Lonchura striata: one gene and its partners. The protein of the gene in region 3 binds, or shares a complex with, the protein of the main gene of each other region. Links are inferred from orthologs where the notes say so. Each region holds a gene or a part of one and is shown on either strand. Other genes may lie near its edges.

Region 1 (7,334 bases), on a different chromosome or scaffold from region 3:
CCTGCCTCCCCATCCCAATCTCTTGCTGCATCTTCCCCTTATTCCACTGGAACAATATAAAACCACAAAAATACTCCTGCCAGGAGCTCTCCTCAGAGCTGTGCACTGGGCACATACACAAGGGCACTTTGCACCCTGTCACCAAACCCTTGTTTCCCCATTCCCCACCCCATTTCTGGGGCTGAGACCTTTGGTTCTGTGTTTTCCAAAGGTGCTGGCATTTTGCAAATAACCCAGAAACAGCAGCAGCAATCCCTGGGCTGATGGGGTGTGTGTATTTTGCTGCTGAGGGTGAAGCCAGCCAGTGGCTGTAGCCCCCCAAAAGCTGGCAAAGGGTGGCTGTGGGTGCCTTAGCCCAGCCATGTCACCAAACCCTTGTTTTACCAATTCCCCACCCCATTTCTGTAGCTTGGGGCTGAAAACTTTGTGTTTTCCAATTTTGCTGGCATTTTGCAAATACAGCACTCCCTGGGGCTGATGGGGGTGTGTGTGGGGGGGGGTGTCTGCTGATGAAGGTGAAGCCAGCCAGTGGCTGTAGCCCCCCAAAAGCTGGCAGAGGGTGGCTGTGGGTGCCTTCTCAGCCCAGCCACCTCCCAGCCTCAGAAGGCAGCACAGCACCTGCCTGGGCTGCCAGGAGCTTTGGGATGGAGGTGAGACCATCCTGATGGCCGGGAGGTGGGCTGGCGCTGGCAGGGCTGTGGCACGGCTCTGGGCATTGCGACACGGATGAGGTTTTTGTATTCCAAAACAAGGGCTGATAAAGGAGGGCACAGGGCCGGAGCCGCGGGAGGCTGCTAAGCTAAATGAGACAGGAAGCACGTAATTCAATCAGATACAGAGCAGCATGAAGACATCTGAGTACACACGCCGGGCTGGGCTCGGAGGCTATTGCATAACCCTGGGAAGAGCTGTGCAAGATGAAATATCTCACCTAGAGCAGCCCATGCTGCCCAGCTGCCTGTCCTGGAGCAGCCCCATCGGAGGGGACAGGCAGAAAAGCTGCCCCAGGGAGCAGAGGGCTCAGCTGGTGGCTGTGGCACAGCGGCCACAGGGCCTGTCCCAGCCCTGGTGAGGAGGAAATTGCTGGAACAGCCCAATCCCACTCCTGTGCCTGGGCTCAGACCTGCACACATAGATTTGGCACTCTATGTGTCCCAGAGCCAGCTCTGTGGCAAACACCTTTGTGCCTCTTCTGGCTGAGCTGCTGTGGTCCCCAAAAAACCACAGCCTTTGACTGACGCCTTCCCTGGGGTTGTTCTCTCACCACGGGCAGTTCCTCAGCTCTGCTTCACTGTCAGCTTGGCCTCACCTGAGCCCAGAGCTTCAAAAGCTGCCACAGGGGACAAGGTAAAACCACACGCACACACGCTTGTCCAATGCACTTCATTTCTCTGGGGAAAAGCAGCAGGGAAGCAGGGCCTGGAGCAAAGAGAGGGGCTCAGCAGGCTGCAGCCTCAGGGCAGAGATGTGCACAGTTTCTCTGCTCTGGCTCACACCCCCCAGTTGCTGCCATCCCAGCTGTGTTTTTGCCATAGTTAATTTGCCTGGCTGCTCCAGGCAGCACGTGGTTCCCAGCACGGTGGCTGTGCCAGGCTCTGAGTTGCAGCCAGGAATCATCTGTCCCGTGTGCCTGCCACACGTGGCCAGGCTCCTGGAGGTTTTCCTCCTGGTATGACCTGCTCAGAGCGTGCCTCCAACACCAGGGAGAGTTACCAGAGCACCCTGTGCCTTCGCAGATCTGCGGCTGCAAGGATGGGCTGCAGTGCTAGAGGGGAAAGAGACAGAGGTGAACATTTCCACAGAATTTGTGTGGAAAAACCAGCGAGGAGATGTAGATGTAGGGGATGAGGAGAAGGGGCATTGCCTCCCTAAAGCCTCTGGTCACCTGCTGCAGCAGGGAGGTGAGTGCCAAGCTGCTTTGGCATGATCTCCAGATCTCCTTTCCAGCCCTGACTCTGTGCAACAGTTGAGTGTGGGTGCCAGCAGCCTGTGCCCACCCCCAGGTGCCACTGCTGCTGTGACCCCAGTGCTCCCAGCGTGGTGCTGAGCTGGGGTGGAGCTCCAGGCTGGTGTGGCACTTCCAAAAGTGATGCCAAGCACACACGCTGTGGGTGTGCACAGACATTTTTGGGTGTGCACAGACATTTTTGGGTGTGCACAGACATTCTTGGGTGTGCACAGACACTCTCAGCAGCTGTACAGGCAAAGGCAACCTTCCAGCCCTCTCTCCTCAAGTCTTCTATTTCTTCCCTGAAATCCACAGCAAAGATCACAGCTCTAATTTTTGTTTTAAGGCACAGAGAAGACTTGAATTAGAGCTTTGTGTAGCTCCAGCCATTTATTTGTAGCTGAATATCTGCTAACCAAGAAGGCTTAAACATGATTATTCAAGTGAAAATCCCCAGAGCCATCAGGAAAGAGGCTGCTCTTACATGAGGAGCTAAAAGTGTGTGTTCAGTCATTAGTCCTGATGCATCCTTCCTGTCTGTCCATGAGCAAGACCATTCTGTGGCTTCTTGTAAGTGATGAGAGAAAGACAGGACTCTACTGCTCGGTGGGGCTGAGGTGCCTCATGCCCCTCTCAGTCTCCCACCCAGATATCCTCATGCCCCTGCTCCCAAAGGCAGCTTGAGAGGAGCCTTTCTCCTGCCCAGATGACTTTGTGCTGCCACTCTCCTGGCACAGTTCATCTCTCCTGGGAAAGATGCTCTGGCAATGTGCTGTGTGTGATGAATGCAGGCAGCAAGGGTAGGAGACAACTTGAGCTCTGGAAAAATGTCTGAGCTGGGAATAGCAGGGAGGAAGGGAGAGGATGAGGAGTGGAAGTGGCAGCTGTGGCCTTGTGCTTGGCTGGCCATGAGCAGGGGGGTTAAGGTCACTCCCTTCCAGAGCCACTGAGCTGGGAATTGCAGGGAGGGCAGCTCTGGGATCCTGTGAGCCTGAGCTCACCACGGGGCCTGTTGGTTCTCAGTGACCTCTGGTTCTTGTAGCTCCAGACCCTGGGGCTCGCTGGTGTGTGCTGGTTTAACCCTTTCTCTTCATCTTTCTCTTTTGCTGGCTCAGTCCTTCACCTCCAGTTTCCAAACTCTCCCTGGCTTTTAATCTCCTTTCAATTTTCAGGTTTCATCAGGATCCTCCATTATCAGATCCTTTCCCGGGTTTTGGCTCTTTTGATGTGCATCCCTTCCCCTCCCTCCTCTCACCACACACCCAGCAGGGGATTTGTGTCAAAGAAGTGCAACTTCAGCCAGCACATTGTCCTTATATATTCCAGCTGTGAACGGGCAGTGCCATTAAGAGGGAAGTGGAAACATTAAACCCTCCTGCTCCATCTGTATCCCCCCAGGAAGCACAAACCCTCCTGACCCCGCTGGGGGCTGCCACCACTGGGGAAGTGCGGGGAGGTTTGGAAGCCCTGGGGCAGCGGGATGGAGCAGAGGATGGAGCAGGGGATGGAGCAGGGATGGAGCAGGGATGGAGCAGGGGATGGAGCAGGGGATGGATCAGCGGGATGGATCAGTGGGATGGAGCAGGAGATGGAGCAGCGGGATGGGGCAGGGGATGGGGCAGGGGATGGGGCAGGGGATGGGGCAGGGGATGGGGCAGGGGATGGAGCAGGGGATGGGGCAGAGGATGGAGCAGGGGATGGAGCAGGAGATGGAGCAGGGGATGGGGCAGGGGATGGAGGCAGGGATGGAGCAGAGGATGGAGCAGGGGATGGAGCAGGGGATGGAGCAGGAGATGGAGCAGGGGATGGGGCAGGGGATGGAGGCAGGGATGGAGCAGAGGATGGAGCAGGGGATGGGGCAGGGGATGGAGCAGTGGGATGGGGCAGGGGATGGGGCAGGGGATGGAGCAGGGGATGGATCAGCGGGATGGATCAGTGGGATGGGGCAGGGGATGGGGCAGGGGATGGAGGCAGGGATGGAGCAGAGGATGGAGCAGGGGATGGGGCAGGGGATGGAGCAGTGGATGGAGCAGGGGATGGAGCAGTGGATGGAGCAGGGGATGGAGCAGAGGATGGAGCTGACGACTCTCGGCGTCTGTCCTGTCCCTCGCTCTCCCACCCGCCGGTTAATCAGCAGGCTCCACACGTCGCTGGACACGAGCCTGTTTTTTCCTGTTCCCGGGGAAGCGGCTATGACTGTGATGCTCAAGGACGAGCCTGGGCCTCCCACTCCCCCCTCGCTTAGCAGCACACACCAACTTACCTAAGCTCTCCTCTTCACGGGCGCTGCCTGAGCAGCTCTTGGTTGGCTGGAGGCTGGAGTGATGCCGGTCCCCCTCCCCGCTCTCCCGCCTCCCACCCGATATAAAGCGCGGCTCCGCGCCGCCGTCGCAGCCGCCAGCACGGGTCCGCGGGGCGGCTGGTGTCGCAGCCCTCCTGTCGCACCCCCTGCCAGCCCCGGGAGGAGCCGATGAGTTGCTGGATGCCTGGGTGCCCAGCTCTCAGCATGTGCCGGGGCTTAGCCGCGCTCCCCATCACTTGCCTGGAAAGGTAAGGCGCTTCTGGGAGGCAGAGGGGTCGCTGGAAGAGACGCGCCCGGACCGGCCTCTGCTGCTGCCGATGTGATGGTAGGGTAGAACCCGGGGTGCAGAAAACACGCAGCCAAGTCATTTGTTGTGGCTGCATCCCTTCTGCTCCGCAGGAGGGGAACGCGGAGGTGAAACAAGCGGAGGGAGAGGAGGCTGGACAGGGCTGTACAAACACACCAGGTTTTTCTGGCTCTGCCTCTGCACAACTTGCAGGAGTATTTTTGTCAGCACGGCCGAACTCTTTAAGTGACATGTTGCTCCTCCCGCGAAGCCCCACGCTGCCGGCTTGACATTTAAACCCTTCTTTTTGTACGGGCGCCTTGGGACGCCTGAACGAGCCGCGGGCACGCAAATAGCAGCTGGGCCACACGCAGCCTCGGGGACACCCTGGGGACAGGCAGGAGCCGCTTCTCCTCCCGGCAGGGAGGTGCCTCCTCCGCGGAGCCGCGGGGACAGTCAGGAGCACTCCAGCCTCTGGCACAGGAGCATCCCAGCCTCTGGCACAGGAGCATCCCAGCCTCTGGCACAGGAGCATCCCAGCTTTTGGCACAGGAGCATCCCAGCCCCTGGCACAGGAGCATCCCAGCTCTGGCACAGGAGCACCCCAGCCTCTGGCACAGGAGCATCCCAGCCTCTGGCACAGGAGAATCCCAGCCCCTGGCACAGGAGCATCCCAGCCTCTGGCACAGGAGCATCCCAGCCTCTGGCACAGGAGAATCCCAGCCCCTGGCACAGGAGCATCCCTGCCTTTGGCACAGGAGCATCCCAGCCCCTGGCACAGGAGCATCCCAGCCTCTGGCATAGGAGCATCCCAGCCTCTGGCACAGGAACACCCCAGCCCCTGGCACAGGAGAATCCCAGCCCCTGGCACAGGAGAATCGCTGCCTTTGGCACAGGAGCATCCCAGCCCCTGGCACAGGAGAATCCCAGCCTCTGGCACAGGAGCATCCGTGCTGCCCCTGCCTCCTAAAGCCATGGGGTAGGTGGATGGCGCCGCTGCGGAGCGCTGCCCTCTCCATGGCCTGGTGAAAGGCTCCTGGGGGCCCAAGGGCACCCCGAAAAAGAGAGCAGGGGAGCAGCAGCCTGGCAGCAGCAGGAGATGCTCCCGCTGTGCCGGGAGGAAAGAAACCGCTGTGTTTTTCCAGCGGTTTGGGAGCACTGGGGGAGAGCGGGGTGGGAAAAGGAACCAGCTCCGGGGAGCTGGGGGGGCTCCAGCTGGGCACTCAGCAGCTTTTACCTGCCCCAGAGAAAAGAGCTCGTCGTGCTTTGTATTCCATGTGTCTGCCTGGGAAGCGAGTAGGAGAAACCGGTCCCCCAGGCTTAATGCGCGGTTGCCAGGGAGCAGGAAAAGCAATGGGGGAGCATTTATTTCACACACCAGGGAGCAAAGACGTGGCTGGAGCTAGGGAGCGAGGGCTGACCCCCCGAGCCCGTGGGGTGCAGCCCCTGCCGGCGGAGGCAGCAGACCGATGGTCCGGAGATCCCATCTCACCCCTCCCTCTCTCCCTTCCTCCCTTCCAGAGCCAAGGATCTGAAGAGCCGCTTGGGCATCCTGCTTCATAAAGCCGAGCTGGGACACAAGGCGGGCAGCTCCGGCAAGCTGCAGCTGGGCTCTAGGCGCAGGTAAGCCAAGCCAAGCTCTGCCCCGGCCGCAGCCCGGGCCGAGCCCCCACGGAGCAGCCCTTGGCGAGGATGCTGCAGCCGGCTGCGCAGCGCGGAGCTCAGCTCCCCTCCGCGCGGTCCCACCCCGGCGGGCCGGGAAGGCGGATCGCTTCCCTGCTCTGGCGCCTATAAAACCCGCCGGGGGAGCGGATGCTCTGGCATTAGGCACAGAGAGCTAGAGGCAAGTTCCTTGGCAAGAGGCAAGGAACCCGCAGGGCTCCTGCACTTCCTGGTGTCTCACACCAGCGGCTGGGATCCCCGGGGAATACAGGCAGCATTAAACACGGAACACTAAATATTGCTGCTGAGGGCAGGGGGTCTTCTGCAGGGGAGGCTCTGCTGGGCCAGCAGGAAAAGGCTCTTCTGAGCATCCCCTAGAGCAGCATGGAGATGAGGTCGGGTGAGCCATCAGGGAAGGTGAAAGAAAGGGAAGAGAGAGGAAAGAGAGCCCACAGGTAATGGATATCGGCCCCTGGCTTTGGTCTCCTGCTGAATGCTGCTGTCTCCCGGTGATGGAGCTGCACAGCTGAAGTGCTCCCAGCCCTCACTGCTGGACAGTGAGCCTCACATCCTTTTTGTCTTTTCCAGAGACTCCTCCCGAGAGGTGCTGGAATGGAGGGAGTCCTTTGACCAGCTCCTCAAGAGCAAAAGTGAGTAGCATCTTGTTTTCTTCTCTTGGTGAGAGTGTGTAGGACAAATATACTCATAGTGAGCTGTATGCCTGGAGTCACTGTAAGATGAAATCTCACCTCCTGCTCAAATGAGGTGTTATAGGACCTAGAAAGAGTCCCTTTCCTGCCCAGATCTGAGGCACGGGGCTCATTGCCTGCCCCATGAAGCTGTGCCCTTTCCTCCTGGCTGGGTTTTTTTGGGGGGGCAGAAGTGTTGTCTTGCTGCTTGCTGTCACAGGAGGGGAAACATCGTGGTATTCCCAAAGCACCCCATTCTCCACAATGGGGAGAGGCAGTGTCTGCTCTCGGTGTCTGGTGGAAACAGCCATGCAGGCACCTCCCCTCAGGCTTGTTCAGACAACTGCATTGCTGCCCTGTCTGTCTGTCCTGTGCCTCCGGGGATGGCTCTTCCACAGGTGCAGGAATTCAGCAGTTTGACTGGATAACCTTGCCCTTTCCCTACTC
Region 2 (7,784 bases), on a different chromosome or scaffold from region 3:
CAGGATCAGGAACTGCTCGAGACTCTGGGAAGCAAATGACCTGGAATCGTTTTTCACTGCTCTCAGTTGTGGTTCCAACCCTTGGTGACCAAAAGCAAACAGGCAAGGTGCTGGGATGCTCCGGAGCCGTGAGACCCGGCCAAAATCTGAGCCTGCCCAAAATGCCTGCTTTTCATCTGCCCTTTCCCTTTGGATCCTTTTTGCCATGGTGACCTTCAGAGCCTTTCTCCTCCAGGCTGGCCCCCGCCACCAGTGTGGGCTGAGGACCTCTCCAGCTCCCAGCTCCATCACCCCCAGCACTTCTCCCCAGCAATCCCAAGGCAAGACACCTCCAAAAGTCATTTCCAGGATAGCTAAGCAGCTTTAAAGGGCTTTATCCATCTCCCTTCCAGGCAACATCCCTCCCTGTTGGGTGTGATCTACCCCTTCCTCCATCCACAAAATAGCCAGAACACCTCATTTAAACCAAAACTTCACAAAGAATCTGTTTCTGTCCCTACAAAAAAGCACCTTTTCACTCCAGAAATGCCTCAGTTTCCCCTCCTGTCACCAGGCTGAGAAAACAGCAGAGCTGAATTTGTTTTCTCCATGAAAAATATTTTTCTGGGGGTGTTTTGGTTTCCTAGAGGGTTTTTTGGTAACTTGATCCAAGCTAAAAAGAGACAGAAAATTTGGAGAAAAGATATTGCAAGTTTAAAAGAACTTTATGACTTTGTTTGGAGGTCAATAAAATGTTTTGCTTTGAGAGAAATCACTTCTTCTGGGAAGTTTTGGTTTTCCCCAAGAAACATCCCTGAATCAATCTCCCTTACAGCTTTTGCTTCCCAGGGGGTACCAAAACCTCCTGCCTTGCTCCATACCATGGGAAATCAATCGGGATTAAGCAAATCTGTGGCTTTAAAGTAAATTAAGAAAGCATTAAAAGCATTGGTGACAACGGTTGAACCTGACTCAATTCCCAGCATGGCAAGGCTCTGGGGATGGATCCTTCTGGAAGCAAACATCAACCCTGGCCAATATTTAATCCCTTCATCAATACTTCCCTTCATGCTTCAGAAAAGGGAGTGCTCCCTGCCTGTTTTTCCCTGCTGCAGGATTGGGGCAAATCCCATTTGACCCCTCAAGCTTCCAGTTTTAATTATTCCATAGGGGAAACTGAGCACCTGCATCCTTTAGGCTTCCTGGAGGTACAAAGGTGGTGTTTCTGTCAGGAGTTTGACTTTGCTTTTGCCCTGAATGACCTTTTGATGATTCCTTTGGAAGAAGCAACAGTCAGGGAGAAGAGTGTAGGACCAGTTTCTGGCTGATTTGGTAACCCTACAAGCTCCGTGTCTGGCAGAAAGGACATTTTCATGGACACCTCCCAGCCTCCTGCCCACACCAAGGGAGTCACAACCACCCTGGAAAAACCAAAGGCACTCTGGGGGACAACCAGGATAACACAATTACCGGGCTCCACCATGGCCCCACCAGAAAACCCTGCAGGGGTGGACTTTGGGGGATAAATTTTTGCTCCTCAGGCAGTTTCCCATGGAGGCAATAGGGTCTTTGCTCATGGGTGGTTCCCAATCAGGTTTTACTGGGGGCTGCTCAGCACTGAGGAGGGAGCCCGGCGTGGCCGGCAGCACGCTCGGCTGCCAGAGAACTATTCGTGGCTTTGGCTTCGTGTCAACAACCCGAGATAAAAATCGCACTGGGCAGAGACAGGATAAAGTCACTCAGTGCCAGACTGTCAGAAATCCTTCTGGGGCTTTTATAACCCTCTAAGCCCTGGGATGTGGCTGTGCTTTGGGGCTCAGCGTGTTTTGGGGTCTCTCCCTTTGCACTGGAGCCCCTGAACCTATCAGCCACCCTTTGCCTGAGGGAAAACAAGAGGAATTTGGCGGTAATGAAATGGCCTAATTTTGGCAGCAGCAACCATGAGCTAAGGCCACCATCCCCCAGTGTTGGTGGCCCCCAGAACCGGGTTTGCTGATCCTCACCTCGTGTACAGGAAGGCAGTGGGTTGCCAAATGGCTTTTGCAATAAACTGATAAGAAAACTGGAGCAGAAAGAGAAATGAGATATTTTGCCCCTAAAGTCGTTCCTGCAGTGATGTCAGCCAGTGCCCAGCTCTGGGAAGAGGGGTGTTTTGGAGGTCAGGAGCTGCTAGAAGGAGTCAAAAAGTTTGAAATGAGAGTATCACCATTGCAGTGTAAATTAAAACACTCCCAAAGAAATTACATAGGGAGCCCAGCATGGAAAGAGGTGGAAAAACACGCAGAGCAAAGCAGGGAGTCAGTTCCATGGTTTAACCTGAGCTGTGTACAAGAAATCATGGACAAACAGCCAGTGAATTCCACAGGGAACGGAGAAACTGAGCAGCAAAGGTATAATTGTGAATTCATACATTAAAAAATCCAATAGAGGAGCAGAAGAAGCAAGAGGCTTCCCTGAGTGTCCGGTTTGAACCATTTGTGCCAGCACCTACACCCTGCTACCTGCTGGTCCCACTGCCTTGTCTTGGGGCACTTGGGGACTTTTGGGCACTTTTAGCGGCAGCACGGGCAGTATGTGGGCTTGAGAGGAGGGGAGCAGCAGAGTCGGGCTGCGGCTCTGTCCGTGCAGCGCCGCACTCCCTGCTCTGGAACCCTGTGCCAGCCGTGCCACCCAGACAGCAACAAGTGCCGCCACCACCGCGAGTACGTGCAAGTGTGTGTGTGTGACATGCGGGTGTTTGTGTCCCACACATGAGTGCGTGTCCCCTTCACCCCGTGCGTGTCGCTTCTCCCCCATCTGCGTGTCCCCACTCCCACCCCGTGCACGAGTTTCCCACTCGACCCTGGAGGTCGCCGCCTGTCCTTCCTTGTAGTGGGCAGGACACGCACCCCCACATCCCCCCAAATCCTCCCGCGGTCCCCCCACGGTCCCCGCCCGCTGCGGCCGCGCTCACCGGGCGATGCCGAGCCAGGGGCTCCGTGCCGGGGGCTCAGCGCCGATCGCCGCGCTCAGGAGGAAGGCGGAGGCCGTGCCATGCCCGGCTTTGGTCCTTGGCCCGGCCCGGTGCCGGTGCCGGTGCCGGTGCCGCCGCGTGTGAGCCGGGACGGGGCGGGCGCGGGGCTGCACCGCCCTCCCGGCGCTGGGAACGGCGCTGGGACGGGGCAGGACCGCGGCCAGAGCTGCCCCGCCCGGCCCGGGACCGCCCCTTCCCCCGGGGACGGGACAGGAGCTCTCCTCCCTGGATGGGAGCGTGCGTGGGATCCGCGCTGGGGCCACGACAGGCGTCCGACCGCCCCCTCTCCTTCCCCTCCGGGATGGCGCTATGGATGGGATCGGGATTAGGGATAGAGCAGGAGCCCTCACTCCCTCCCCCGGAGATGGGAGTATGGATGAAATTGGGGCTGGGATCGGGGCCGTTCACCGACCTCTCTCCCCTTTCTCCCCCGGGAATGAGACCGGGATTAGGGCTGGGACAGGAGACACTCCCCACCCGCCAGAAATGGGGCATGGATGGCATCAGAATTGGGACTGACATTGGAAACGGACGATTGCTCCCCGAGTCTTCCCCCGGGGAGGGGGCGAGAGTTAGGACAAGGACAGGACCTCTCTGCCCTGGGAGTGGGATCATGGATGGGATTGGAGCTGGGACTGAGACTGGACTCACTTCCACGGGTGCTAGGATTGGGTGTGATGCCAGGACTGGGATGTTGGGACTTCTCATCATTGCTGGAACCAGAAGACATGGCAGAAGGTTTGCTCGAGGTTTGCTCCTTGCTGTATCCTCTTTGACCTGCTGTCCCCACAGAGCCCTACATGACACATCCTCCCAGGAAGCTGCAGGAAGCTGTGGAGGACCAGCACCACCTTCACATCTTGCCCTCTCCTGCAGGTGGCTGCTGCCCAAGGGAAGCAGTGGCCAGGTCCAACCCAGCCCTCCTCATTGACCAGATCTGGGGTGCCGGAGGAACAGGCACAGCCCCACAGGACCACGTGCAGGTGGCCCCGCTGTTTTCTGCCGCCGGTGCTCCCCTGAGTGTTCCCCATCTGTGTCCCTGGGTGACAGCCAGATCCTTCTTCCCCAGCTGGATCTGATTTCATGTGGGGGTCCTTGAGCCCCCTGGCTGTGGCTGGGGGGGGGCCATGAAGCCCCCGATGGAGGTGGGGAAGGACACCAATGGCATCTATTATTCAGCAGCAGAAACTGGTAGCTGGCTAAGGAGGCATTAAGAGGATATGAACTCATGGCATGGACATAGTGCTGCAGAGATCTTGCTCATGGACCTCCATGCCAGAAAAGAGCAAAAAAAATAAATTCCTGTTTCCTTCTTCTGATGTAATTTGTTTGAGGAGGGAAAACAATACATCACATCGCAGCTATTTGGGGCTGATAAGGGAGGAAGGACAGGCTTGCTGCTTGCCCAGAAGGAGGGAGATGCCTGCACAGAGCTGATGAGTGAGGCTCAGCTGGGTGAAGCTGCCCAGCAGTGACCTGGGTGCTGAGTCCAGCCCATTACTCCTGGATTTGGAAACACTTAATGGGCAAAGTTTGGGTTCACCCAACCACAGCACCTTGGTTTCACCCTCCAAATCTTTCACCCTCCCAAGGAGGGATGATGTCCATAGGTGATGGATGATGTCCAGGGAGTTGATGCTGTCCTTGCAGGAGCTGTGACCCGTGGTGTGATCACTGCTGCTCAATAGCCCCTGCCTGGCGCCATCTCCCCCAGCCTGGTCCTCGAAGGCCTGAACACCTGCAGCTCTTCCTCTCAAGATGAAGCCAAACAGCTCAAAAACAAAAGGCAGGCGCCTTCCTCATCTCCAGTGGTGATTAATTATGGCCAGGCCAGCTGCAAGGCCTGCTTGGCAGCTCGGTGCTTCAGCAGGACAGAGGAGATGTTTTTCCAAAAGCTGCTTTGGAGCAGGGAAGTGTCCCCTGGAGAGCCCTCTTCCCAGCAGACCTTTCCTGAGCCTGGTTGAAGTCCCAGCAGCTTCCAGCAAGCAGGACCTACCCAGCTTCACTGCCCACTGCATGGAAAAACATTTCCTTTCCCTTCTTTTGCTTTTTCTCCTCTCTTTTGGGCTTGAGGAAGATGGAAGGAGGGCGTCAACCCTAACCCATCTTACTCATTTCTGTCCTTCATGCACCTATCACCTAGAGCACCCAAAACCAGAGCCCCCTCACTCCCAGTCTCCATTTCCCAGCTTCACGGCAGCTCAAGGAAGAGGCAGATGTTTTAAATTGTGTTGAAAAGCAAATGATTTGTGCAGCTGCAGCACAGACAGAGGCAATACCCAGAGAGCCGACCTGGAAAGCAGCCCCACGTTTCCCTTCGCGGCTTCATTTTTCAACTGTTTTGGCAGCCCGGCAGGTTTCTAAGACACTTTCAAAACATTCCCATGTTGACTAGCATGCAGGAATGTGATACAGGAATGGGTGGACCGGGAAGGTCAGGCTGGCCACAGCAAAGCCTGCGCTGCACCCATGGGTGCAGCTCAAACATGCAGGGAGACACCAGCAGAAGTGATGGAGACAGGCTGTCATACATCAAATACTTTTTTCCCCCTTTTATTTTGTTTTTAAAGCCTTAGGTGCAGCAAGGAAGACAGTTTGGGTGTGTTGGGCTGAGCCTCCAGCCCTGCCCTGTGTGACTGGGCTTGCAGGAGGGACATCCCATGGGAGCAGATGTGACTTTGCAGTTTCTCAGGCTGCCTGAATTCTCTGTCCAGGATGTTCTTATTCAAGACCACCAACAACTTTCAAGGGGCAGCAAAAGCCAATGTAGCTGGAGAAAGAAACCTCTGTTCACAGTGCCCTTGGGATGCACTGGAGATGAGGTCAGGTGGGGCTGGAGAGAGATGTGGAAGCACCTTCCCAGCAGCCAAATAGGGTGGGTTGGTTGGAGGTGGGAGCTGGGGCTGTAAAACCAGCCCCAGAGTCATGGAATTAGTAGGGTTGGAAAAGCCCTTTAAGATCACAGAGTCCAGTTGTTAACCCAGCACTGCTGTGTTCCCCGCTAAACCACATCCCCAAGTTCCACCTCCACCACTCTGCCACTTCCCTGTTCCAATGCCTGATCACCCTTTCAGTCAAGAAACCTCTCTGAATATCCAATCTAACCTCCCCAGTGTAACCTGAGGCCATTTCCTCAGGTCTGTAGCTGGAGCCAGTCCCTCTGGCCATCCCTCATCCACACATGCTCTGGAGGAATCTCCTGCTGCCCTCTCTAAGGCTGCAGCACCCAGGAGACGCTGCTGGGCACAGAGAGACACTTTCCTCCCCTTTCCACCCTTTTCCCACTAATCCCTTGAACAGGAACTGACAGATGGGCGCAGACAAGGTACAGGGAGCTGTCTGTAGCTGGTGCTCTGTGCGGAACAGGGAATTTGGGCAGACCTGAAGCACATGGAGCTCTCTGGGGCAAGCAGCTGCAGACAGCGAGTCTTGAGCACATTGCTCAGTGCAGGGAGGGCTTTGCTCTGTGGCTGTGCCCATCTGGGTGGGGATTTTCTCTTCTCCACCAACGGTTGGGGATTTTTTTTTTTTTTTACCCCAGCTTTCGTTTCCTCCCCACTGAGCACATGTGATGTCTCTCCCCTCCTCCTCCTCACCATCAGAAGGGTGATGGAGGTGCCACTCACTTTTCCTCCCAGCTCCTGTGTAACCCAGGTGTTTTGGAGGGGTTTTCAGACTCCAAGTGCATTTTCCCCCCTCAGGATGATGCTTGCAAAGAGGGGTAGGAGTGCTGCCACAACCTCCCAGGCAGCAGGAGCTGCCTGCTGGGCCCTAAAACACAAGCATCCTGTTGTGGCCAAAAGTGTTTATGCTTGTAGGAAGACCATAAATAAATAAAACATCTCACACCAGGGGAGGTGTGTTAAAATTAACCCATAGGCTTGGGCTGTGTGTGCTGTGGGTTCCCAGATATGGTTCTGCTCTGCAGCCTGTCCAGGAGGGAGCAGGGGATCACATAAAGTCAAAAAATTCATCTCTGGAAGTTCATCTCTGCTTCTGCTGCCCCCATTGATGGCTTTCTTAGGAGCACAGATGCTGAGTTTTCTGCCAGATTTCATGACACTTCCACTTCCTCTGGGATTGCCTAGAAAATAGTAAATAAGAGAGATTAAAAAAAAAAAAAGCCAACAAACCCATTCAAGGTCTTATTCAAAACAGTTTAAGCAAGTAGCAGCAGCAGGAGCTGCTGGAAGAAATGTCCTGGAGGACAGAACTTGTTGCTGGATGAGGTTTTGCATTGATCTGGCATTCCATAACACAAGTAAACACATGCCCTCAAAACAAGTCCTCCTAAAACCAGCAGCAGCAACCCATCCACGTAATGGTCCCAGCCTAAAATAGTGTTGGGGTTCCTAAGAAAGGCTTCTTCCTCCTCATTTCTCTATTTGCAGAGCTGCTGAGGAGCTGTGCAGGAGTGGCCCCAGCTGTGCCTGGACCTCTGGCAGCAGCTTGGTGGGATTCAGTGGGTGTGGGCAGCTGGATTGTGGTTCCAGTCACCCCCAAATTTTGTGGGGTTACAGCTTGGCTGACCCACCAGCAGCTCAGCCTTGGGGTCAAACACAGCCTGGCACCACGATGGATTTAGCTCCAGCTGGAGATTGGTTCAAGGGGTGGAGTGGCAGGGCCCCCATAGCATCCCATGCTCCCATTTTTCACCTGATCCTCATGAAATCCACAGCAAAGAAAAGCCACAGAAAGACTCAGGAGAAAGTTTCCATTGGTGCTGGAGAAAAAGCCATTTTCCAGTAGTTTTGTTGGCCATTATTTTTGCTCTCAGCTCTCAGCAGTGAGA
Region 3 (7,480 bases):
AACAACCCTGAAGTAGGAGGTGAAAGATGAGCTGCAAAGCTTTGCAGCTTTCCTCCTATGGTCACATCATTCTGAGCTTGCCCCACTCCCTCCTCATACCATCCACCAGTTCTCTGAGGATGTGCTGATCCTGCAATATCAACTAATTATGGGGATGGAACCTATGTGGTATTCCCTCCAATACTATTGCAATCTCTGTGGTGGTGGTAGGAGTGTCGTGGTAGCTATGAGACTTTCTCATGGCCCATGGAACAGTTTTCTCACCCCTCTTTACTACCTCCTGGCAAGCTGTGGGAACAAACATTTCAGTAAGATCTGTTGTGATAAGAAAATAAGTCATGTTTTACACTAGAAGAGGGTAGATTTAAATTAGATATAAGGAAGAAATGTTTGATTTTGAGGGGGGTGAAACACTGCAGGTTCCCAGAGAGGTGATGAATGCTCCATTCCTGGAAACATTCAATGCAGGACTGGGGAGGGCTCTGAGAAACATGGCCCAGTTGGATCTTTCCCTGTTCACTGCAGAGGGGTTGGACTAGATGCCTTTGAAAGGTCCCTTCCACCCCAAACTGTTCTGTGATTCCAGGAAGAAAGGCAGAGCACTCTACAAACCCTTGAGCTGGGTAGCAGAGCCCACGATGGTGATGTGTTCTGGAAGGCTCATCCCTCCCCAGTCTGGAAGCAGCCAGGATAAAACAACACACATGAGATCATAAAGTTGTCATCTACCCCACATTACCACTTTGGCACAGTCTTTTTCAATGGCATCCATCAGTTCTGTTACCATCCTTCACTTCTTAAAGAAATGACTATCTGATTAACTTTCCTAGCACAATGTTTGAAAACTGGTTGCAGAAAGAAGCTGGGTTTGGTGAGGCACAGATCAGATACAAGAGAATAAAGACTTTTGCTTAAAATACACTGCTGACTCTTAAGTTTGGGAGAGAGCAGTCTGAGCAGAAACAAGCGAGTTCTTTATGTATCTTGATGAAATACTTTAATTGCAGGGATAGCCAGAAAGAAAGTGCCTCCTCTCCACCTTTAATGGAGAGGTTCTCTCATTTTCAAAGGGGGAAAAAAAGAAGCCTATTTTCATTTGAAGTTGTTACTACCAGCAACCACTTTTTATTAAAAGAGGAGTCCTGTCAGCTCCTGAAAAATGGAAACATCTTTTTCAGCAACAAAACCCAATATATTTATCTCAAAAGCCAAGTAGGCTGGAATGCATTTTGTTTGGTGGAGGAGGCAACCTTTTTTCTTTCATGTTCTTGAAATTCATCTGCCATGAATAAGCAGATTTTTTAAAAAAATTAAATTTCCCTCTAAGAAAATTTTGAAAGAAACATTTCCACCAGCTCTGCTCAGTTAGCAGCAGGAAAAAAAGTGGCTTAGAAATGGCTCAATTTCACAGCTGCTCCCCTGAATTTTTCTGAGAGCTGAGAGAGCAAGGAGAAGACTTGCCAATTTCTGATTTTCCCTTAAGAAAGAAATTAGCAGATTATTGTGTAGCAATGGGGATGATCATGGGACAAAGGGATGACTGCAGACTCCACACTGGTCAAGAAGAAGAGAAATAATTTTCTCCATGGCAGGAGACCCAGGCTACAAATTTGTCAGATAACGAGTAGCCGGAGGCTGATATAAAAGACTAATTCTCTTAGTAAAACCCTTGGAGAGTTTCCCAATATGAGACCAAGGCTGGCAAGCTGCTGGAGGAAATGGGAAGAAAATGCAGCTATCTCATGAGGACGCTGCCTCTGGATTTCTTCGTTGTGTTTTTTCTATACAGGACTTTTTGTAATTCCCTCTAGCTAGAACCATTGAAATGAAACTTATTGATTGAAATTCTGATCCCATTGATTTTACACATGAGATTTGTGCGAATATGAAAGAGCAGGAACTGCTCTGTAACCACACCCATCTCCATTTATTCCCTGCTGAAGACATGCTGTAGGTTTGCTTGTCCATCTCAGTTCCCTGAGCTTCCAGAAATAAATTACCCAAAATTCAAATATATTGTACCTATTAGCTCACAAATGTATAGTAGAATACACTAAATTACCTTTTGCTTTCTTTTATCTGCTTTTCTTTCATACCCCCTCTTTACCTCGTTACCCACATCCTGTTTTTCCCTTTTGTTTCAGAGGTCAGGAGGGAAAATGGGAAGAGCATGTTCTGTGAGGAAGAAGAAATGGGAAACAGCACTGGGAGGAGATGATGGTTGCCTGGAAGGAAAGTGCCTGTGACTTCATGCTTAGAATACTCTAAGTGCTATTAGAAATTACATTTCTACCCCTAAGGAAATAGTCCTGGATATGGGATCTGGTGAACTCAGGACAGCAGGTGAGATGCTCACAGAGGAGGCAGCGATCAGGTCCCAAGTGGAAAACGCACACAGTGTAAGGACATGGTCACCCACACCCAACAGCACAAACAGCAGCCCCCTGCCTTCCCCGAGGCCTGTGGGGCAGCCCTGCATTTCCTTCCCACAGCACAGCGATGTTCCTGTCAAGCCTCCTGTAGCTGGGTGCTTTTTGGCAGAGAGGTGGAGTGGCTTTTGGGGGCAAAATCAGCAGCCTCAGCATTCACATCTACTGAACAACCACACCTCCCTTTGCAGATTTCTTGTGTACTGAAATGGTGGGTGTCCTTTCCATGGATCAGGTAGCAAACCTTGATTATCTTAATTTTAGTTTGATGCATTTTACCTTGCTGTGCTCAACACTTCTTTCCTCTCTATATCTTTTTATAGCTAGATTGTCACATATCAATCAATGTTATGGATTAAAGTTGAGTATATTTTAACTTGTCTGGGCCTGTAGGAAAGCATTTTAAACAAAGTTCTATTTATTTTATTTTCCTTGTCGACAGTTGTTTTCTTCTCTCTTTTCCATCCTTGTGAAATGGCAAAACCTGCCAGGAAAATGGTGGGACTTTAATTCACTAGAATTCTTAAATCACTGTTAGATGTCATGGAATAGATATGAAAAGAAGGCAGGTCATCTGCTGAGGTCTGTGACCACACTGCAACACAAAAAACCCAAACCTTCCGTTAATTACACTGATGGAAAACATAATCCAACATGGTGGTGAAACCTGATGCTTTGCATGGAGCATGTAAACGATTCACATTGCAAGTGTTCACATTGCCTGAGCCGTGAGGAGCTCCCAAAGGGCTCCTTGCAGGTCAGGTCACAAACACAGCACTGTGGGGTGGGGGCAGGCACAGGGTGTGGGTGCAGGAGCTGTGGGGGATGCTCAGGGCACGTGGGGAGCCAGGGTTCCCACAGTGGCCGGGGCAGTGCCCAGGGGAGCCCAGTGCCCCCGTACACACACCGCTGTCACATCCCCAAGCACTCAGCTCTGCGCTGCCGGGCCAGACCACAGAACTGTGGGATGGCCTGAGACACAAGAGACCTGCAAGGATCACCGAGTCCAACTCCTAGCCCTACCTGAACAGGGGCTGATGATGTCCTAGAGCAGGACATTCCCAAGAGTTCCACCTGAGAGCCTTGAGGCTTCTTGAAATCCGTCAGGCTTAGTGCTGTGATCACTGCCCTGGGGAGTTCCAGTGCTCAAGCTCGCTCTGGGTAAGAACCTTTCCCTAATATCCAACCTAATTCCCCCCCCGGCATGACTCCAGCCGCTCCCTCGGCTCCTGTCACAGCAAGAAGAGATCGGTGCTGCCCCTGCACGGCCCCTCCCGAGGAAGCTGCAGCCCACGATGAGCTCTGCCCTCAATCTCCTCTCCAAGTGCCCTCGGCCGCTCCTCGTATGGCTTCCCCTTTAGACCCTCCACCTAGGCAGACCCCAGCTCGGAGTCACCGGGCCGGGGGGCAGCAGCCCAAGCCGCGGAGCGTCCCTCCCGGGGAAAGGCGCGGGAGCCCGGGGCGAGGGGCCGGGCACCGGGGCCGCGCCCCCGCCCGTGCAGAGCGGGCGGCCGCTGCCCGCGGGCCCGGGCGGGGCGGGCCCGAGCATGCGCGAGCCGCGCGCGTCACGGGCGAGGCCGGCGGGAGCGCGCAGCCCGGCGCGCCCCCGCGCTCCCTCCTGCCGCCCGCCCGCCGCCGCTCCCGCGCCTCCATTCGGCTCCGCCGCCGCCCGCCGAGGAGGGGACAGCGACAGTCGGGAGCACGGGAGAGGGACGCGCCCTCCCCCGCCGCCAACCCGCTTCCTCCTCCTTCTCCTCCACCTCCTCCCCCGCCTCCGCCTCCGCCTCCCGGCCGGGAAGAGCTCGCCGTGCCCGCTGCAGCCCCGCTGGATGCACTGAGCGCTCGGGCGCGGGGAGAGAGGGGCAAGAGGGAGCCGGGAGCCCCGCCGCGGAGGCGCTGCGCTACCCGGAGCCTCACGGCCATTTGCTTTAATTCTTTTATTGCCCCCCGGCCGCCGCCTCCTCTCTGTCCGCGGGAGCCAGCCGAGGCGGCGGGGGCTGCATCCCCCCTCCCCCCCCTTTTTTTTTTTTAATTTTTTTTTTTTTTTAATTTTCATCGCCGCCATGGGATGTACCCTGAGTGCTGAGGAAAGAGCCGCCCTGGAGCGGAGCAAGGCCATCGAGAAGAACCTGAAGGAGGACGGGATCAGCGCGGCCAAAGACGTGAAACTACTCCTGCTCGGTGAGAACCCGCCGGTCCCCCCATCGCCCCCCTCCTCCTCTTTCCCCGCGCTTATCCCACCTCATCTCTCTTCCAACAGGAGCCGGAGAGTCGGGGAAAAGCACCATCGTGAAGCAAATGAAGTAAGTCCCGCGGGGGGAGCGAGCGAGCGGCGGTGCGGGGCGGGAGAGCGGGGCGGGGGCTCGCGGAGGTGAGCGAGGGCCGCGGGCGCCATGTTTACCTGAGGGGACCGCGCAGGCAGCGCGGCGGGGCCGCCGCCGCGCCCGGCGCTGTCCAGGGCCCGCTGGTGCTGAAGCGGCGCCCCGCGGCCTCGCCCCCGGCGGCGGTGCGGGGAGGCCGGCAGCCCACCTTCCCCCTCGGCGCAGATGTCCCCGTGCAGCCAACCGCTGTCACTTCTGCTTAATGTCGGGGTGTTATCTGCCGGCTCTGCGGATTGAAACCAAGGCTCTCTGTCGCTGAAAGCCCCTTTTATCGAGCTTGTACCTTCTTCTTTTAATTAATGAACGACGAGCTTGGCCACTCATTCAAATCTCTTCTGCTCTGGGATCCGAGTCTCCCTGTGGTACTCGGCGCTGCTCCTCGCTGGGGCTTCCCACACCCTTTTTCTGTGTTTAATTAGATATAACCGTGTAATAAACAACAGTGAAAAGCCCCACCGCACGGTCCCTTACAAGCATCCCCGTGGCTCGTGTAAATGCACCCCGTAGGAAAGCAGGTGCGGAGAAGGCTGATGGAGGTGGAGGTACACTCGTGGTGCGACTATTCTCCCCCCATCCATTTTTTTTTTTTTTCAAAAATTAAAATACAATTAAATATCCCGTCCTCCCACCGCTACAAACATGACGGGCTGGTTGGAGGCGGGCGCCATCACGGAACGAGCCTGGGCGCTGGTTCAGGGTCTGGATTTCAGCTGGGAGCGGTTGCCGCTTTGCGATGCTGGTGGTTGCGGAGAGATCTGTGGCTGGGAGGGCCCCCCCTCCCGGGACCGGGATTGCTTAGCGAGGGGAAGAGGCTGAGAGATGGGTGTGGATGGGGCGCGGGGAGCGGGGTGCGGGTCCCGGCGCGGGGCTCCGGGGCCGCGCGGGCCGACGGGCGGGTCCCGGCGCGGCGTTCAGCGGCTGGAGCTGGACAGCGCCCGCGGGGCCCCTCGGCACCGCGCTCCGCTGCCTCCGGAGGGGCCGCGGAGAAGCCAAAGGGGCCCCCGAACCAGCAAAGCGGCCCGTGCCCCTCGCAAGCTGCAGCCCTGAGCTCCCGTAGCCGCCCCGCCTGTGCGTGTGTGTGTGAGCGTGTGTGTGAATGCGTGTGTGTGAGTGTGTGCCTGTGTGTGAGAGAGTGAGAGTGTGCGCGTGTGTGTGTGAATGTGGGTGTGCATGTGCGCGTGCATGTGCGTGCACCACTGGGGCAGATCTGGGCCTTCAGCCCAGCTCCTCTCCAGGCAGGGTGGCTTAGCGGGTGACCTGGATATTTCTGTATCAACTCCGTGGCCGCTGTGCCCACCCCTCGGGGGTTCAATGAAACCATCATCCCCGCCTGAGGCAATGCTTTTCCCAAGGCGCTGCGGGGCTGGGAGGTCTCACTGTGAGGAGATTTGCCTCCAGTGCACAGTGGTATCCGTGGCTTTCCCCACTGACGTTTGTGTACCCTACTTCTGTAGAGGCTCTCATTGTCTCCTTTTACTGTTTGAAAGAGGGCTTTTCCCCCATAGTTCGATTTGGATCTGGGGTGGGGTAGGTTTGATTTGCTCTTGTTTGTGTGCAGAACGTGGATGAGGAGACATGTCGCTGCAGATGAACACCAATAAATAATTTAATCTCTAGGAATTGCTTCTGCAGAAGCATGCTGGAATGGCAGGTGATGGGTTTTGGTTAAAGGGAGAGGCTGTGGGAACTACAACAGCACAATGCACATGTAGAGCCCATAGGCAGGAGGGCAGGCAGTGACCACACTGGCTACACAAAAAGCCTACAATCTTGTTTTCCAAAGAGCAGAGCTCTTGTTTTTTGAAGCAAATCATATCAAGATAATAACCTGTTTGTTGGACTAGATTGGTATATTGAGGACTGAATTATACCCGTTTTGTGGATGTATATATATATATATGTATATATATGTATATATATACATGCATTTCATTACAACTACTCAAAGTAAGGCATGCTAGGCTTGCAGCTTTGTACCTAATATGAAAACGTCAAGGAAGCTGCTATGGTGGATGGGCTTCTAGTGTGGGAAATGGGGAGGCATCTGTGAGTGTGGAAACTCCAGTGAAGTGTGTGGAGGCTGGGGTGGGGACAGCGGTGTTGCTATGAGCACGGCAGCAGCATCTGGAGAGAACCGCGCAGCCGCGGGCGCCAGGGAGAGCGATGTGCGGGGAACAACGAGGGGAAACCAACATTGCTAAAAATTAATTCAAATATAATGTAGGCATTAGCATTTCACCTGGTCAAGCTCCATTAGACAGCCTTGCTGAGAACCTAATGAATTCTTAATAAAGATTAAATCGCATGTTCATTAGATTTTGATGAAAGAGTGCTATTTTTTTTTTAATACTGTATTATTGGTGTGCTTCTAGATAATAAATCTCATCCTCATGAATGGCTGAAGCAGCTTTACACTTGGATATTGCCTTGAAAACAAGCACAGGAATCTATAGACAGATTGGGGAATGTTAAGACAAAGGAACAGAGAGCAGACATTGTTACATAGGAATAGAAGAGGTTACACACTGCCCAGTTAATCCTTGAAATGTTAGATAGCAGGAGCAGAAGTAGAAATTACAGTAATTTGAGAGTGTAGCCAGGATGTAGATAAGGATTTGTAAATGTAATTCAGGATTTTTTGAGTGAAATATTTGAAGATACCTTTTAGCT
Region 4 (7,206 bases), on a different chromosome or scaffold from region 3:
AAACCTTATCCTCCAGTTTTATGTAAGCAGTTTTGCCTTTGGAGGTGACACGAAGCCGCCCTGTCCAGTCTGGATGGTCCAGTTTCCAGTCAGATGCCCTGAAAGGAAGAGCAGCTGAATACTGACCAGAGTTAACCTCTCCAATTCTGCCCAGCCACCTCAGTAGAAATCTCTCCCCCCAAACCCTCAGCCCCTGCAGCTGCCTCATTCCACTTCCCTCCCCAAATAAGACACGGGGTCTCAGCTCCTCTCTTGCTGCTGCCAACTGAGACACAACTCTGACTGGCACCTCTGGGCAAAGGGAAAGAGACACAGACCAGAGAACATCAACTCCTCATCTGTGTACATTTACCAAAGAGGGGAGACAGAAGCACAGAAACTCACTTCAACAGGGAATCCACAAAAGTGACTTGTGAGCATTGAGAAGACCCCAAAAATTAATTAGTAACATGCTGAAAAGACACTCCATTATTCCACTCTATGGCTGTAAAATAACACAGCTGAGTACTTCATAGCCTAGAGGCAGCTGACTTACACCAGTCAAAACACACATACAGATATTTTGACTGACCCGTCACACTCTTTGCCACAGGCTCTTGTGAAGGAAAAAAAAAAAAAGAGAGAAAAAACCCAACCTACAGCATCACAGAATATTCTGAGTTGGAAGGATCACTGAATCCAGCTTCCGGCCCTGCACAGGACACCCAAAATGACACCATGTGCCTGAGAGCATTGTCCAAACACTTCCTGAACTCTGGCAGGCTTAGTGCTGTAAAATCTACGGGATTTTATAACTGGAAACAAACATCCTTAGCCAGGCACAATATCCGCCTACAGTCTGTCAGGTTCAGGGAGTTCACAAACCCACTCCTCCAGCAGGCCTGTGGGCACATCTTACAAAGTCACACTCCGCTGCTTTTGGCTGACCAGAGGTCTTTGTAACTGCTGGTTCTGCAGCCTCTTCTTAAAACTCACTCCGAATTCCCCCCGCTTCCCTCTCCACCACTGCGAGAGCCCCCAGGCCAAATCCAAGGCGCACATCAGTGTCACATGGCAGAGAACCCAGAAAGCGGGAGCAGGCGTCAGCCCTGCCCGGAGCAGCACGCTGCCCTCGCCTCCTGCCCCCGGTAACAGAGCAGCCGCTGCTGCCACAGCACGGCGCGGAGGCTCCCCCGCCTCCAGGCGCTCACCACCTGCCGCCACAGGCACTTCCAGCGGCGGCTCCTCCCGAGCTCGGCGGGAGAGGGCTCGGGGGATGGCCAGACCTGCTCGCGGCCACAGGACACGGCGTTCCCAAGGGACGAGGCCGGGCCGCGGCATGGCACTGCCCGGCCCCCGGCTGCCCTGCGGGCAGGGACTGAGGCAAGCCGGGCCGATCGCGGGCGCCGGACGCTCCCTCACCTGTACCCGCGGTTGGAGGTGCGCGGCGGGATGCGGTAGACGTTGACATCGGGCTTCACGCAGAGAACGGACTCGTACTCCAGCTCGGCCGCCGCCATGTCGGCCGCGAAGCCCGGCGAGGAGCGAGCGGCGGGAGCCTAGTGACCAGCGGCGCTGCCCACCGCCATCTTTGGTGAGGGCAGACACCGCCTGGGGGCGCCAGCGCGGTCGCGCCAGACGCGGGCCACGTCGGTGAAGCGGAGGAAGCCATCTTGGGTGTTGGCAGCGGGGAGCGGGGGCGGGAGGGCACCATCTTGGAGCCGGCCCTGACACAGCAGTGGCGGCCGGCGCCATCTTGGGGCCTGGCAGGTGTCGCGGCGGGGCTGGCGCGGCCATGTTTGTTAGGGGCAGCCCTCACGGCACCGAGCTGCCCGTCCGGCCGCCCTCCCCTGTGCTGCGGCGATTTGGTGGCTTTGTGGTAAAAGAGCCAAAGAGGAAATGCGGTGCACAGCACGGAAATTTGCTGCTGGAAGTGATGGAAACGGCACCTGTGCAAAGCTTAGTTTCAGGAGTGGGTCTTCCCCCGAAAAGGGTGCAGATACCGGTTTTATTTGTCAGTAATGATAAGGCTGGCAGCGTTTAAACCACTCTTTTAATGGTGGCTTCTCAGAGGAGACTGGTGTTGAAGTTCAGTGCTGTGCAGCGTCTTGTGACTGAGTGTCAAAAAGTACCAGCGTTTACTCTGAAAAGTGTGAGAAAAGGCATAAGAGAAATTTTAAAATTACATAGAGCCGTGTCTGAGCATTCCATGTCAAGCATTGGAACGGGCTGCCTAGGGGGGTGGTGGAGTCATCATCCCTGGAGGTGTTGAGGCAAAAATAATCACAAAAACATCACTAAGTTTGAGGTTTTGATTTGGTTTTTTGTTTTGTTTGGTTTTTGGTTGGGTTTTTTTGTGGGGTTTTTTGTTGGTTTTGTTGATTTTTGTTTTGGTTTGGGGGGTTTTGGCTTGGCTTTGGGGTTGGTTGTTTTGGTTTTGGCTTTTTGGTGTTTTTTTTTTTTTTTTTTTTTTTCCTTTTTTTGTTGTTGTTTTGTTTGTTTGCTTGTTTTCCCAGTAGGGAAATAGCATTAGTTAATGCAGGCAGAGTTAATTCCCAGCCATGGCTGTCTAGCCACCATTCTCTATGTTTTTTCTTGTTCTATAACTTCTTAAGATTAAGGACCAGTACAGCATTCACAATTCAAGAAGAAACTTAAATTTACCTTTTGGATAGAGTTGCTTATTGACCTAATTTTTCATTAGAACCTCCTGCAGTGACTGCTAAGTTTTTTCATTGAGCACTAATGTCTCACTGGGAGTACATCCTCCATGTGCAGCTGCTTTTCCAAGTTCAGTGATTCACAATTAGCAGTATTAAATTTCACCTCCCTCTTCACAGTGCTGTCATTCAGCGTGTCACAGTCCTCCTACGGTCCCCCTAGAAGGAGAGCATCTCGGATGAGGGAGTGGCAAAGGGCCAACTATTATAAGGCATGTGAGCAAAGACTCACAAGCACCACCAGAACACCAGGAATGTATCTCCCATTCAATTCCATTGAGACTTAAGCAGTAGAGAACATAACATTCTTCAGCTTGGTTCAAACAAGCATCTCTGGATCAAAAATATACAAAGCACTGCCAATAACCAATGAAGTTTAAATTTTTATTTATATTATTTACCTTTTTGTTTGTTTGTTTGTTTCTTTTTAAGGATTCAGCAGAGAGGTTGAAATCTTGAAATAGAACATTTAACTTGGATGATAGAACTGGTTAAGGACCCTCCTGCAAAGCAGGGCTTGACTAGCAGGTCCCATGGTGATGACCAGGCTATGCTTCTATCAGCACTGCCTGTCTGGGCTCGAGGAGTCCCCCTAGCAGGATAGCAGCTGTGAAGAAGATGAAGCTACAGGAATTTTCCTGGCAGGCTGCTGACAGCCTGTCTATCTTTGTGGGTACAGCTCAGCCCTGGTCTGTCTTCCTTTTTCTGGTTTTGTGTTGGAGGCAGCATCTGTGTCTTTAACAGACACGCTCAAGAGAAGAAGTCTGCTCTGTCACAGTTCATTTTCCAGACCAAAACAAAAATACTGAGGCTGATTCTTGTATGTCTGGGCTCTGTCATTTCTGCTAGCAGTCTTGATTTCCCAAATTGTGAAGGGCAAGAGGGAACCCCCTTGTTAAACATTAGAAATGCCTTGCCCTGGAAATCTTCCATTTTTATTGTCTTGCCACATTTTGTGCAAATCGCCCATTTCAGTTAACCACTTCTAACTTTTTGTCAGTCAATTTCTTTTTTAAAAGCAAGAATTTTAAAACCCTGAAAAGTAAAAAGCAGAACGGTTTGGTGAGTACAGTGTTCTGTATTTGATGAAGCAAACTGTCTCAAGCTGGGACAGAAGCTGATCTGGATTGGTAAGAACCCTAGAAATTAGATTAGCTAGGTGAATGTGCTCACCTGGTAAGACATAGAAGTGGCTATGACATGACAGGGTTTGGACTTAGGAATTACTTCCAGCAAAGGTCACACTGTGTCAACAGGCAAGATGGCATTCAGTTGTCTTATAGAATATAGTAAAGTATATGTCTGTGATTATAACTCTATTAATATTTTATTTCAAGAACTATTTTATTTTGAGTTTTGAGAAAATTCCTGTGATTTGACTTTTTATTTTATGAGCTGATCATATCTAAATCTTGAAATTACATTGAAATGAGTAATTTTATTAGGGTGAAAGAACACACTTGGCAAACACAGGATGCATACAGGAAAAAAAAATGCAGTTCCTAAAATGTCATGTGAGGGTTTTCGCAGTCACTCCAGAGACAGAATTGATGGTAGTTGCTCCAACACACTGAAATCACTGCTTCGCTCAGGTAGGTATCATAAACTGGAGAATTTTGCTTTCCTCATCTACTTGCCATTTATTATTCTTTACTCCTGAAAACCCCTCTCCTTCCTCCAGTTGTCCCTTTCATTTTCAAACCATATTGCAGCCCTTTTAGCACTCTGGAAAATATAGTGTGGGCAGTTTACTTTGGAGTAGGACTTACATTACTATTTTACAGCATTTCTTGTTTCCCTGTCCTCTTCATACCATTTTTTGTAGTTATATGGGGAGGCAGCAGGGTTCAACTCTTGCAGCACTGTTCGCCAGTTGTCCTTCTGAAAATTGCTTCTACATAGATCAGCAAGACCACAGGAAATGGAACAAACTTGGGAGAATTTTAAATTAAGCCTCCAGCTTTCAATTAAGCTTTCCAGTAACGTCTGTCATAGCTTTCCTTGCAGGTCACCCTCACTCACAAGTCTCTTGGCAGACATTACCAAAACCTGATAAATTATGATGTTTGTTACATTTGTTTATCTCATTTTATTCTTAGTGAAGCAGTGATGCACACTTATGCATCACTCCACTTTCGGACTGCATGTTATTGAAGAGTGAGATTGATTATTTGAATTTTTTAAAATAATATTTATATTTAGTCCTGCATACAACAATCTCTGACTGGTATTTAAGTACGGGCATAACAGAGCTTAAAAATGGGTCAGTTGTCTTATTTATGTCTTCTCAGTTGCTTCTGCAGGCTGTATTCACCTCTTCCCTATTCAGTTTCCTTGCATTTTGGTAACATTTTTTGGGACCTTTCAGTAATACAACTGCCGTCATCAATTCAGCAAGGGTTTAGTTAAAAAGAATTTTTAAGACAATTCTATTAATGCCTAAAGAATAAAAATCAGGGTTTTTTTTTCTCAATTCTATCTTAGCTTTGCTGGTTTTCTTTTCCTTTCTAAATTTACTAAGTCCAAGAATAACTGAGCAATTAACATTCTTCCTCTGTGTGGTCATAGTTTTAAAATATCACTTAAGTATGCTGTAGGTCAGCTTCATTGTCTTGCAGTAAGACACCTCATATCTAACATTACTCTGTATTTTCATGTTTATTTCTACAAGTAAATATCTGTCTGTTCTTCTTAAACATTAATTTCTTATCTTTCATAGAATCTTAAACCGTTAAGATTGTCTTTTTCCTGGTCAAGATAAGCTTTCCAAGGAACTACCAGAGAGCTCAGAACACATGTATAAGAAAAGGAAGTGGTCACTGGCACTTCCCTAAAATATCACTTAGCCAACAGAAGTTATGTCCTCTCTGTTCTATTTGTAATGTTCAGAAAGTGAAGCAGGGTGATTTCAGAAAGACAGGCATTGCTTTCTTAACTTAAATGTTATGCCAGAAGAAATTGCTAATTTTAAAGGAAAGAGGAACTAAAAATGCTGGTTTGCCTTTCTGAAGCAGGAAGTCAACCAGGAAACACACCTGGGCACATCATGGCCATGTGAATAGACCTTCACTTTAGAGACTAAGAAGAACCAGATGGAAATCAAAGGGATGACACAGATAGGAGAACATAACTGCATAGAGCCCACTGTTTGAACAGCAAGCTTACATACAGGTTTAGCCACTATGAAAATGATGAAGATGTACAACAGGTACACTAGTAACAATTTTGTGTAGGCCAATGCCTTTGTATCCTGACAGCTCTGTACTGTCACCTGACTCAGAGATGCTTCAGCAAAGGTTAAGAGAAGAATTTGGGGAAGAGGATCACAGAATTACTAGGTTGGAAGAGACCTTCAAGACTGAGTCCAACCCATGCCCTAACACGTCAACTAAACCATGGCACCGAGTGCTAAATCCAGTCTTTTTTTGAACACATCCATGGGTGGTGACTTCACCACCTCCCTGGGTAGACCATTCTAGTACTTTTTCACTCTTTCTTTAAAAAACCTATTCCTAATATCCAGCCTATGTTTCCCTTGGTGCAGCTTAAGCCTGTGTCCTCTTGTTCTGTCAGTTGCTGCCTGGAGAAAGAGAGCGACCTCCACCTGAATACAACCACCTTTCAGGCAGTTGTAGAGAGTGATAAGGTCACCCCTGAGTCTCCTTTTCTCCAGGCTAAACAGCCCCAGCTCCCCCAGTTGTTCCTTGTAGGACTTGTGTTCCAGGCCCCTCACCAGACTCATTGCTTTCCTCTGGACATGCTCAAGAGTCTCAACATCCTTCCCAAACTGAGGGGCCAGAACTGGACACAGCACTTAAGGTGTAGCCTCACTAGTGCTAAGTACAGGGGAAGAATGACCTTCCTTTTTATTCCTAAGTTCCTTTAAAACCTCGTTGCCCATCCGGGCTGTACATTTGCCTAATTGACTCATCTTTCGCCACACAGGGACAAAAAGATGTCTGTTCTTGTGCCCTCAAGATCTCTGTTTTGCAGTACTTTGCTGGACTCCTTTGTTTTTAAGGGCTGCTTCTCAAGGAACTCTCTTAATAAGTCTCCTAAATAGACCAAAGTCTGCCCTCCAGAAGTCCAGTGTAAGAGTCTTATTGATGTTCCTCCTCATTTCACCAAATATTGAGAACTCTCTAATTTCATGATCACTCTGCCCCAGGCGGCCTCCAACCACCACATCTCCCACCAGCCCATCTCTATTTGCAAACAGCAGGTCTAACATAGTCCCTCCCCTGGTGGGCTCACTCATCAGCTGTGACAAAAAGTTGTCCTCCACACACTCTACGAACTTCCTAGACTGCCTCTTTTTTGCTGTATTAAGCTTCCAGCAGATGTCTGGTAGGTTGAAGTCACTTACAAGAACAAGGGCTGGTGATCCTGAAACATTCTCCAGCCACTTATAGAATAAGCTGTCAACTTCTTCTTCCTGACTGGGAGGATGATAACAGACCCCCAGCACAATTGTTGGCCTTCCCCCTAATTCTTACCCGCAGGCATT

What was found.
Region 1: the proteins of GNAO1 (region 3) and regulator of G-protein signaling 16 are in contact, whole or in part, in a crystal structure (PDB 3C7K), measured with the Mus musculus proteins. The link is inferred for Lonchura striata from reciprocal best matches to the Homo sapiens genes GNAO1 and RGS16. Residues at the interface, in NP_034438.1 of Mus musculus: Glu64, Asp65, Gln68, Ser75, Arg86, Thr117, Val180, Lys181, Thr182, Thr183, Gly184, Ile185, Val186, Gln205, Arg206, Ser207, Glu208, Lys210, Lys211, His214, His236, Glu237, Asp238, Glu239; in NP_035397.2 of Mus musculus: Glu85, Phe86, Ser87, Glu89, Asn90, Glu124, Ala125, Pro126, Glu128, Val129, Asn130, Asp132, His133, Glu134, Leu161, Lys164, Asp165, Ser166, Arg169, Lys172.
Region 2: the proteins of GNAO1 (region 3) and P2RY2 are in contact, whole or in part, in a cryo-EM structure (PDB 9K20), measured with the Homo sapiens proteins. The link is inferred for Lonchura striata from reciprocal best matches to the Homo sapiens genes GNAO1 and P2RY2. Residues at the interface, in NP_066268.1 of Homo sapiens: Ala31, Lys32, Asp33, Val34, Leu195, Gln305, Glu309, Glu318, Ile319, Tyr320, Cys321, His322, Met323, Val334, Phe336, Thr340, Asp341, Ile343, Ile344, Asn347, Leu348, Gly350, Cys351, Gly352, Leu353, Tyr354; in NP_002555.4 of Homo sapiens: Asn66, Ser68, His130, Arg131, Gly134, Val135, Pro138, Leu139, Leu142, Arg143, Met221, Arg224, Leu225, Ala229, Tyr230, Gly231, Thr232, Ser233, Pro237, Ala239, Lys240, Lys242, Ser243, Arg245, Thr246, Leu308.
Region 4: the proteins of GNAO1 (region 3) and C3AR1 are in contact, whole or in part, in a cryo-EM structure (PDB 8I95), measured with the Homo sapiens proteins. The link is inferred for Lonchura striata from reciprocal best matches to the Homo sapiens genes GNAO1 and C3AR1. Residues at the interface, in NP_066268.1 of Homo sapiens: Ile28, Ala31, Lys32, Asp33, Val34, Asn194, Leu195, Ser264, Asn316, Glu318, Tyr320, Asp341, Ile342, Ile343, Ile344, Ala345, Asn347, Leu348, Arg349, Gly350, Cys351, Gly352, Leu353, Tyr354; in NP_001313404.1 of Homo sapiens: Asn57, Asp119, Arg120, Val123, Val124, Pro127, Ile128, Gln131, Asn132, Arg134, Asn135, Tyr356, Ile359, Arg362, Gly366, Arg367, Phe368, Ser371, Lys374, Thr375, Val378, Leu438.

What each region holds. Positions count from the first base shown.
Region 1 is NC_134611.1:1,692,740-1,700,073, forward strand, and holds the start of regulator of G-protein signaling 16, read left to right. Parts: upstream 1-4,329; 5' UTR 4,330-4,418; coding exon 4,419-4,498; intron 4,499-6,057; coding exon 6,058-6,159; intron 6,160-6,340; exon of another isoform or gene 6,341-6,582; coding exon of another isoform or gene 6,583-6,653; intron 6,654-6,786; coding exon 6,787-6,848; intron 6,849-7,334. UniProt on the Homo sapiens protein: Regulates G protein-coupled receptor signaling cascades. Inhibits signal transduction by increasing the GTPase activity of G protein alpha subunits, thereby driving them into their inactive GDP-bound form.
Region 2 is NC_134604.1:18,219,378-18,227,161, reverse strand, and holds the start of P2RY2 (P2Y purinoceptor 2), read right to left. Parts: upstream 3,112-7,784; 5' UTR 2,933-3,111; intron 1-2,932. UniProt on the Homo sapiens protein: Receptor for ATP and UTP coupled to G-proteins that activate a phosphatidylinositol-calcium second messenger system. The affinity range is UTP = ATP > ATP-gamma-S >> 2-methylthio-ATP = ADP.
Region 3 is NC_134615.1:15,386,116-15,393,595, forward strand, and holds the start of GNAO1 (guanine nucleotide-binding protein G(o) subunit alpha), read left to right. Parts: upstream 1-4,369; 5' UTR 4,370-4,492; coding exon 4,493-4,610; intron 4,611-4,689; coding exon 4,690-4,732; intron 4,733-7,480. UniProt on the Homo sapiens protein: Guanine nucleotide-binding proteins (G proteins) function as transducers downstream of G protein-coupled receptors (GPCRs) in numerous signaling cascades.
Region 4 is NC_134604.1:31,235,315-31,242,520, forward strand, and holds the start of C3AR1 (C3a anaphylatoxin chemotactic receptor), read left to right. Parts: upstream 1-4,205; 5' UTR 4,206-4,291; intron 4,292-7,206. Other genes in the region: NECAP1 (adaptin ear-binding coat-associated protein 1), read right to left, coding at 1-98, 1,402-1,499.